2 linked regions of the Saccharomyces cerevisiae S288C genome follow. The protein of the gene in region 2 purifies or fractionates together with the protein of the main gene of each other region. This does not show direct contact. Each region holds a gene or a part of one and is shown on either strand. Other genes may lie near its edges.

What was found.
Region 1: the proteins of SRM1 (region 2) and GSP2 purify together in Saccharomyces cerevisiae (affinity purification with mass spectrometry; 2 studies listed by BioGRID). This does not show direct contact.

The regions. Positions count from the first base shown.
Region 1 is NC_001147.6:680,847-684,282, forward strand, and holds GSP2 (Ran GTPase GSP2), read right to left. Parts: upstream 1,261-3,436; coding exon 598-1,260; downstream 1-597. Other genes in the region: YOR186W (uncharacterized protein), read left to right, coding at 2,265-2,699; TUF1 (translation elongation factor Tu), read left to right, coding at 3,184-3,436. UniProt on the Saccharomyces cerevisiae protein: GTP-binding protein involved in nucleocytoplasmic transport. Required for the import of protein into the nucleus and also for RNA export. Not essential for cell viability.
Region 2 is NC_001139.9:319,799-323,774, reverse strand, and holds SRM1 (Ran guanyl-nucleotide exchange factor), read right to left. Parts: upstream 1,994-3,976; coding exon 545-1,993; downstream 1-544. UniProt on the Saccharomyces cerevisiae protein: Guanine nucleotide exchange factor that promotes the exchange of GSP1/GSP2-bound GDP by GTP and controls RNA metabolism and transport. Involved in yeast pheromone response pathway and in mRNA metabolism.

The sequences.
Region 1 (3,436 bases), on a different chromosome or scaffold from region 2:
CCGAGCGAGGCACAGGGCAAAGAGAATGTGGGTGAGACTGAACTATCTCTCCCAATATATTATACTTTTTTTTGTCGCGTCTACCAATTAAATGAAAACATAATTGGGAATACTTTCCTCTTCTTATATTTTATCTTAACTCGTTTCCGATCTTCTGATATTCTATTTGTATATGAATAAGAACATTATTGTAATCGAAAGAAGTATCTCTTTTCAAGAGGATTACTTTTCATTGAAAACTTTTGGACGGGCAAAAAAAAAAAAGCGCCAGCAGGAAGAAAAAAGGAATCTAGTAAAAAATAAAAATTAGGTTTATAAAGTAGTAAGTGAAGTGCAAGAGGGAGCGTTATTGGACGATCATATTGTGATCGGATCCCGTTTATTGGTCTTTGATTCAATTTAAAAGAAAAGAAATGTACAGGTTAAACTTCAACATACCAAAAAAAAATTACAATGTGGCAATTAAACAGAGAAGAACTAATTCTTTAAAAATAGACTTTCAGAACTATATATTAAAAATAAAAGAAATTTCAAAAAAAAATTTTTAGATTGATGTGAGAAGAAGCAGAATATTTTCGTATATAAATTTTCATGTTTTTATAAATCAGCATCGTCTTCATCAGGTAATGGTAAAGCAGTGGCTTGGTCCATTTCTTGCTGGTATTGGTGCATTAGTTGCTCGTCAACTTGCACCTCAGGTGGGGCCAATGCAGGAGACGCAACAAACTCCAATTGTGGGTTACCGGCAAGTTTTCTAGCCAACCACAAGAAAGGCTTTTCAAAATTATAATTGGATTTTGCAGAAATGTCATAATATTGTAAGTTCTTTTTTCTATGGAAAGTGATAGTCTTGGCCTTGACCTTTCTCTCTTTGACATCGACTTTATTGCCACATAGCACTATGGGAATATTTTCACACACACGGACTAAGTCTCTATGCCAATTAGGGACGTTCTTGTAAGTGATTCTGGATGTGACATCGAACATAATAATTGCACATTGAGCATTGATGTAATAACCATCCCTTAACCCGCCAAATTTTTCTTGGCCTGCGGTATCCCAGACATCGAACTTAATTTCACCGAAATTAGTATAAAAAGATAGAGGATGAACTTCTACTCCGATAGTTGCAATGTATTTTTTTTCAAATTCACCGGTCAGATGTCTCTTCACAAAGGTAGTCTTACCAGTACCTCCATCACCAACAAGAACTAACTTGAAAGTGGGAACCTCGGCATTGTTTTGAGCAGGTGCTGACATTACGAACTTATATAGGTAGTCACAGGTTTATATCTTTATTGTGCTTAGCCGAACACTTACTTTCTCTCAAATTCCATCAAGAATTATTGTTTATTCCTCCAGAAGAGATCAAGTACCATTTACACTATTTTTTGTATTTAAGGGGTGGCAGAATTCAGGATGCCACATGCGGCTTTTAATGATAGCAAGCTTATACAGCGGAAGACAAAAAAACGGGTAACTGACATTGTATATATTCACCTTGAAAATAAGTGCTAACGCCATGTAAGGGTATGGCCCGCTTAAAGGGCAAGTTCACTCCGCTCAAGATACAAAACTGAAACGATGAAGAAAAAAAGAGCATCTTGACCTCCCGTGACTCATTAAGACCACTTGAGACCACTTGCTCTATGTGTATCAACCTATAAACTGTATATCTTTTGCATTTTGCACCTCCTTAAGGAAAGAAACTCCCTTCGAAAGTATTATTTCCCTGTGGCCCCTTACTTCTCTAATTGACAAGACAGAATTTTCTCGATAATTCCCTGGATAAAGTGTCAGTTTATAGAGTAGATCTCACTTGCCTTTTGACTGCTTCCGCAAGCAGAGGGATCGTAAGTTGTACACACCATTGCCTTGGCTATTACCACCACAATGTCGTGGCAATAGCGGAACCGTGCGGATGTAGCCATTGCTGCAAGCGAAAGCGCGGAGGTTAGCGGCAATGGCGTTCAAAACGGGATGGCTTCTTCGCCAAGTACACGGAATAATATCCAGATAGAAGTATTTTTGTGCGGTAAAGGGTACCACATCTGCAGCAGCGCAATGAAAATTGCGTATCAACAGCAAAAGAAATACTTAAATAGCATGTTTAGCACTTTTGATATAAAAAGGGGCCGCAAATGTTCTGGCGTATTACTGTTTTTTCTTGTCAAATGTGTCACTAAGCAAGCAACTTGTAATCAAGACCTCAATTCAAGGTTAGTTTACTCCTTCTCTCAAATACTACGTAACAGATCTTATTGATGACTTTGGCTTTTACGACCTTCGCTATTTCCAAGATAAACAATTCGTCCACGAATGAAGATTCTAAAGTCATGATACTGTGCGATGAGCATCACCCTTTCGAGAAGGGTTACTTTAAGTCCGCCATACGAGCCTTCGGCAACAGCATTAAGCTAGGATTAATGGGTAACTCGCGACCAGAAGACGCAGCGTCCATATTCCAAGATAAAAATATTCCTCACGATCTGACGACGGAAGAATTCAGGTTGCAGCTGGTCTGTATGGCTTTTTCCTGGTTCATATTTGGTCTCTTCATCGCCTGCTTACTACTTTGTATCACGCTTGTGCTAACATCGCGATATCCTGGAGAAAATGAAAACAAAGCCACGGAAGTTGTGCCATCCAGTAATATTGACGACGAAGAAAAGCAATTATCGCTTTCCGACATGATTTAGTACTACGTGGAAGAAAGGAAAAGAAGCTGCTTTTCTCATTTAAAACATTTAGTTTATATACTTCGCCTCTGGAGGACTTTTCAATTTATGCAATATGTGAGCACTTCTCTATTCTCGATTAGGTCTCTGATATATACATATACATAAACATAAAGCAGTAAGTTGGGTCTATTATACTGACAACCCTGTTACCCGCATTGAAATTGACAGGCTGCCCATTGATTGGTCAGTTTCCCACTAACCCGCGCTGGAGCTGATTTTTCATATTTTTAAGGATTTTGTTTTAGCACCCATCCGACCTCAGTCAATATATCCTTTCGCGACCAGGCTTTCCTCCCTTTTGCTGCTAACTGGTTACAGATTTTCCTATTTTTGGTCATTTTTATCTTTGAAACTGATTAAGCTGAAAAAATTTGAGCTTCTTTGTTGTAAACTATTTTGTGCTTTCAGTTTTATTCTAGCTCGACAAAGGTAACAGACAAAAATGTCAGCTTTATTACCAAGATTACTCACAAGAACAGCTTTTAAAGCTTCTGGGAAACTTCTGAGGCTCTCTTCAGTAATTTCTAGGACCTTTTCTCAAACTACTACTTCCTATGCAGCTGCTTTTGATCGTTCCAAACCGCATGTAAATATAGGTACGATCGGCCATGTTGATCATGGGAAGACAACTTTAACCGCAGCCATTACGAAAACGTTAGCCGCAAAAGGTGGTGCCAACTTCTTGGACTATGCTG
Region 2 (3,976 bases):
ATGGTCTGTATGAGCAATCTCCGGTATGCATTTTCCATAATGCTGTTGAAGAAAGTTAAAATACGATAGGTAATTTGTCGCGGTTAGAGAGAGCAATGAATTTTTCCGTGCTAACATGTTCACCGGAAGTTTATCCTTTGCTTTGCCTGTTGCTGGTGTCTTGGCACATTTTTAATTTTTCTCCGTTTTTCTCAAAAAATCCGATTAAATTCCTTAGAAAGTTCATTACTAGAGAAACGTGCAGAAGAGGAAGAACCTGAAGGGCTGGACGAGCGGATGGATTACATAATACTTACTCAGTGTTGATTTCATCCGCCTGCTAGTTGTCGTCTGGTAACTCCTCGCACTTATGCCCCTGTACTCAATGTAAAGGCCCAAGAAAAATTAAAAAAAAAAAAAAAAAAAAAAAAAAATAAACATGAGAATTTGTCGGTATCGGATAATCATATCGTTTTCTCGTTTTTCTTTGATTTATGTTATATTTTACAATTTATACTGAGGTGCATTATGTCGATTTTCTTTTATTTATCTTTGTACTACTACCTTAATCATCCATTTCATCCGCTCTCTTTTCTGCGTCCTCATCAGACAGCTTAACACCACCAGACACGGAAAATTGGCCTCCACACCCGACTAAAATGATGTTATGATCCTGTGTAGCAGTATTCTTGATTCTGGTTGGAACTTCAGTGTCGTCCTCAAAAGGGCCTAATCCAACGGCGTAGGTTTCACCAAAACCCCAAGAATAGGCAATGCCATTTTGAGCTACCGCGACTGAATGGTGAGACCCCGCCGCAACGCTTTTGAACTTCGGAACATTATTCAACTTAGTTGGAAGTGGCACGGCACGTGCTTTTCCATGAACATCTTTGTAAGTATATTCGGGTAAATTGTCTTTTGGGATACCAACTTCAAACATGTCTAGTCTACCACACGAATACAAATCGCCATCTTGGGATAGGATCAATGAGTGATGTTCACCAGCAGCAATGCTTCTGATAACAACGTTATCAGGTAGCGCTAGTCTTTTTGGCTTTGTAACAAGCGCACCGTCTTCCACATCCTCTGAAACACCACATTGACCAAACTGATTCAACCCCCAGCTTACTAACTTGTTGTCTTTTGTTAAAGCAAAGCAATGGTTTTCGCCAGATGCGATGTATTTTACATGTCTTAACCCAAATGGTCTGGGATCCAAAGTCTTTAAACGGAACCTTTCCATAACTTTTCTTCCTAATTGGTTTTGCTGACCGTTACCCCAGGCGAACACCATACCCTCTTCATCTAAGAAAAGTATGTGATCCTTACCGGGAGCTAATTGGACAATATTGTACTTAGAGAATGTAGGCACTTTCCATGGAGTTTTTTGAATTTTAATTTTATCTTGGTAAAACCCTAGGATACCTTCATTGCAACGGAAAGTACCCCATGCGTATACCTCGCCATTGCTGAACAGGGCGCAACTCATATTGTCTGTAGCTGCCAATTGCACGACCTTGTGTCCCTCCGCTAAGGGAGGAAATGACTCTCTTGGGATTTTAGCGGGCGTAGATTCCAATTCGTTCAAATCACCATCTTCGTCATCACTTGAGTCATCGGCGTCCATGTCCTTGAGTTGTTCCTTGGCGTTGGAAGTATCTCTGCCCAACGCACCCACGTCATTGCAACCCCAGGACCATACATTGCTTTCTTCATCAAGGGCTAAGGTGTGCATACCACCGACTGCAAAAGAAATGATCTTGGCCTCATCGCGAGGTAAAAATGGGTTTAACCTTGGTCTTTTAACTTCCTTATTTTTGGCTAGTGGACCCAACCCAAGCTCACACATAGAACCAGTACCCCAGCAAAATATATCCAATGGTTGGACACTTAAGTACATATGCTTGTAGTCTTCTTGAGCGTTTATGATATGAGAAGCATGAGTTTTAGACATTTTCTTTGCTCTATGAGCGCCAGACGCGTCTCCATTGGTGGCGACTGTTCTTTTGACCATTTTAAACTTTTATATGACAACTTTTTAAGTTTCTGGATCCAGGATTTGACTTAAAGAGGATGTCTTGATGACTTTTAATATTCTCGAGATCGGTGATTTTATTCATCCTGCCTTGCCTCTCCCGTGCTTTTTTGTTTTTTTGAAATTTTATTTGTGCGGGTAATGAATATTGTTTGTCCTTCGAGAGGTCCTCGCGAAACCCTGCTACTTTTAGCCGCCCAACGATTGAAAAAGAAGGGAATTGCTAGATAGCTATCTCTGTCGGAAGCAAACAATATATATATATATATATATGTAACTCTTGATATCGGTGCTCTCTACTTTAGAGTATGCGGTGTTCCTCTGTCCATTAAAAGCAAGTGTCCTTTTCTTTAGAGTCTCGGATTATACTATCTTGGAAGTGAGTTTTTAAAGAACCAGAATGGCAGGACACTGGAATACAGATTGGCTTTATATCGTTACTGCCGAGGGAAGACTCTCATAATATCTAAATTTTCTGTTCCGATTCTCTTACTTGCAAATATTTTACACTCTGTCAGGAATAATCAGTAATTGCCTCATTGAATTATCTTAGGTAGTTCTCTTTCAACTGCTATTGTATTTCAATCTTGGGGACTACAAAACGTTGTAGCAATTGTTGACGATGGTTCCTACCTGAAATATGGCCTTAAGAATTTACCGCGAGCAACGGGAGGGATAATGTCCAACACGGCTTTTTATTATTATTATTTTCCGAACCTATAAATCCATCAGTATTCCTTTCAAGAGTTTTTCCGTCTCTGGCTGAAGGCTCATTTCCATGATGGGGTCACAATTATTATCGCACACAATTTTGGTGGCGTTGAAATTGATGCCGGAATTTGCCCCAGTGCTATAGGTGTTTTACTTAACACATAATTTCTGAACCCATAATAAATGACACGTAAATTTCCCCTTTTTATTTAGTGGAACTGAACCTGTTTTGCCATTAAGAAGCAAATACCTTCCTGTTGCTTGATTTGCCCTGTTTGTCTTATGTGTTGAAGAGAAATTAGAATATTATGTGGCGTATCAATGCCAAAGTATTATATAATGTGTTGAAACGAGCGGTATTTAATAGTAACATGAGTTACTATGGTAACGATCTAAATGTTTAAATCCTATACGATGAAGTATGGAAGCACTATTACAAAAGGAAATGTAAATGAGCATGTCAGAAAGTACTGAATTTGAGTTAAGAGTCTATTAATTGAATGAGATCTGAAAGTCACATATAAGAGCAATATGAGTCGTCACATTAAATGTATGAAGCTGCCGGAATCACCATTATATTAGCCATATATAATAATGAAACAATCGGCATGTGGTTTATACCTCTGTTATATAAGTACAAAAAGATCCATATTCATTCTTCATTAATACAACCTGTTAACTTTTAACTATCAACATAAAGAGCTTAGCTGTCTTAGTTAGCTTCGCTTTTTATCATAACTACACCTCCTTTAGGTAAAAGAGAAGTACCTCTAACTTACACTATTTCTTTCGTGGAAAGAAGCTGCACTAAAACAGGTTTTAAAACAGACCGATTTATTTACCATAGGATACCTACATATTTTTGTCCCCTCTACATATCGTATCGCCGAGCATTCATAGAAGTTGAACTACATCCTTATTTCAATTATGTGCAGTACGAATGCATTCTTTTTGCCAGGAGACAAACCACAAATTTACATAACTGCAAATCGTACTGTTTTGTGGGCATTTGGGTTCACATCAAGCAAGACGTACTCTCTTATTAGAGGCATAGAACGAACGCTTTTACAATTCATTTTCAATTCCTCTTCTGTTTCTCGACCTCGTTCTATGACAACTCGCAACAAAAAAAATGATTTCTTCCTTCTCTTGGTCGGGTTTGGAAAGTTGTGCGAGAAGGCGAAATTTCGGAAAAAATGCCATCTCCTAGAATCGAACCAGGGTTTCATCGGCCACAACGATGTGTACTAA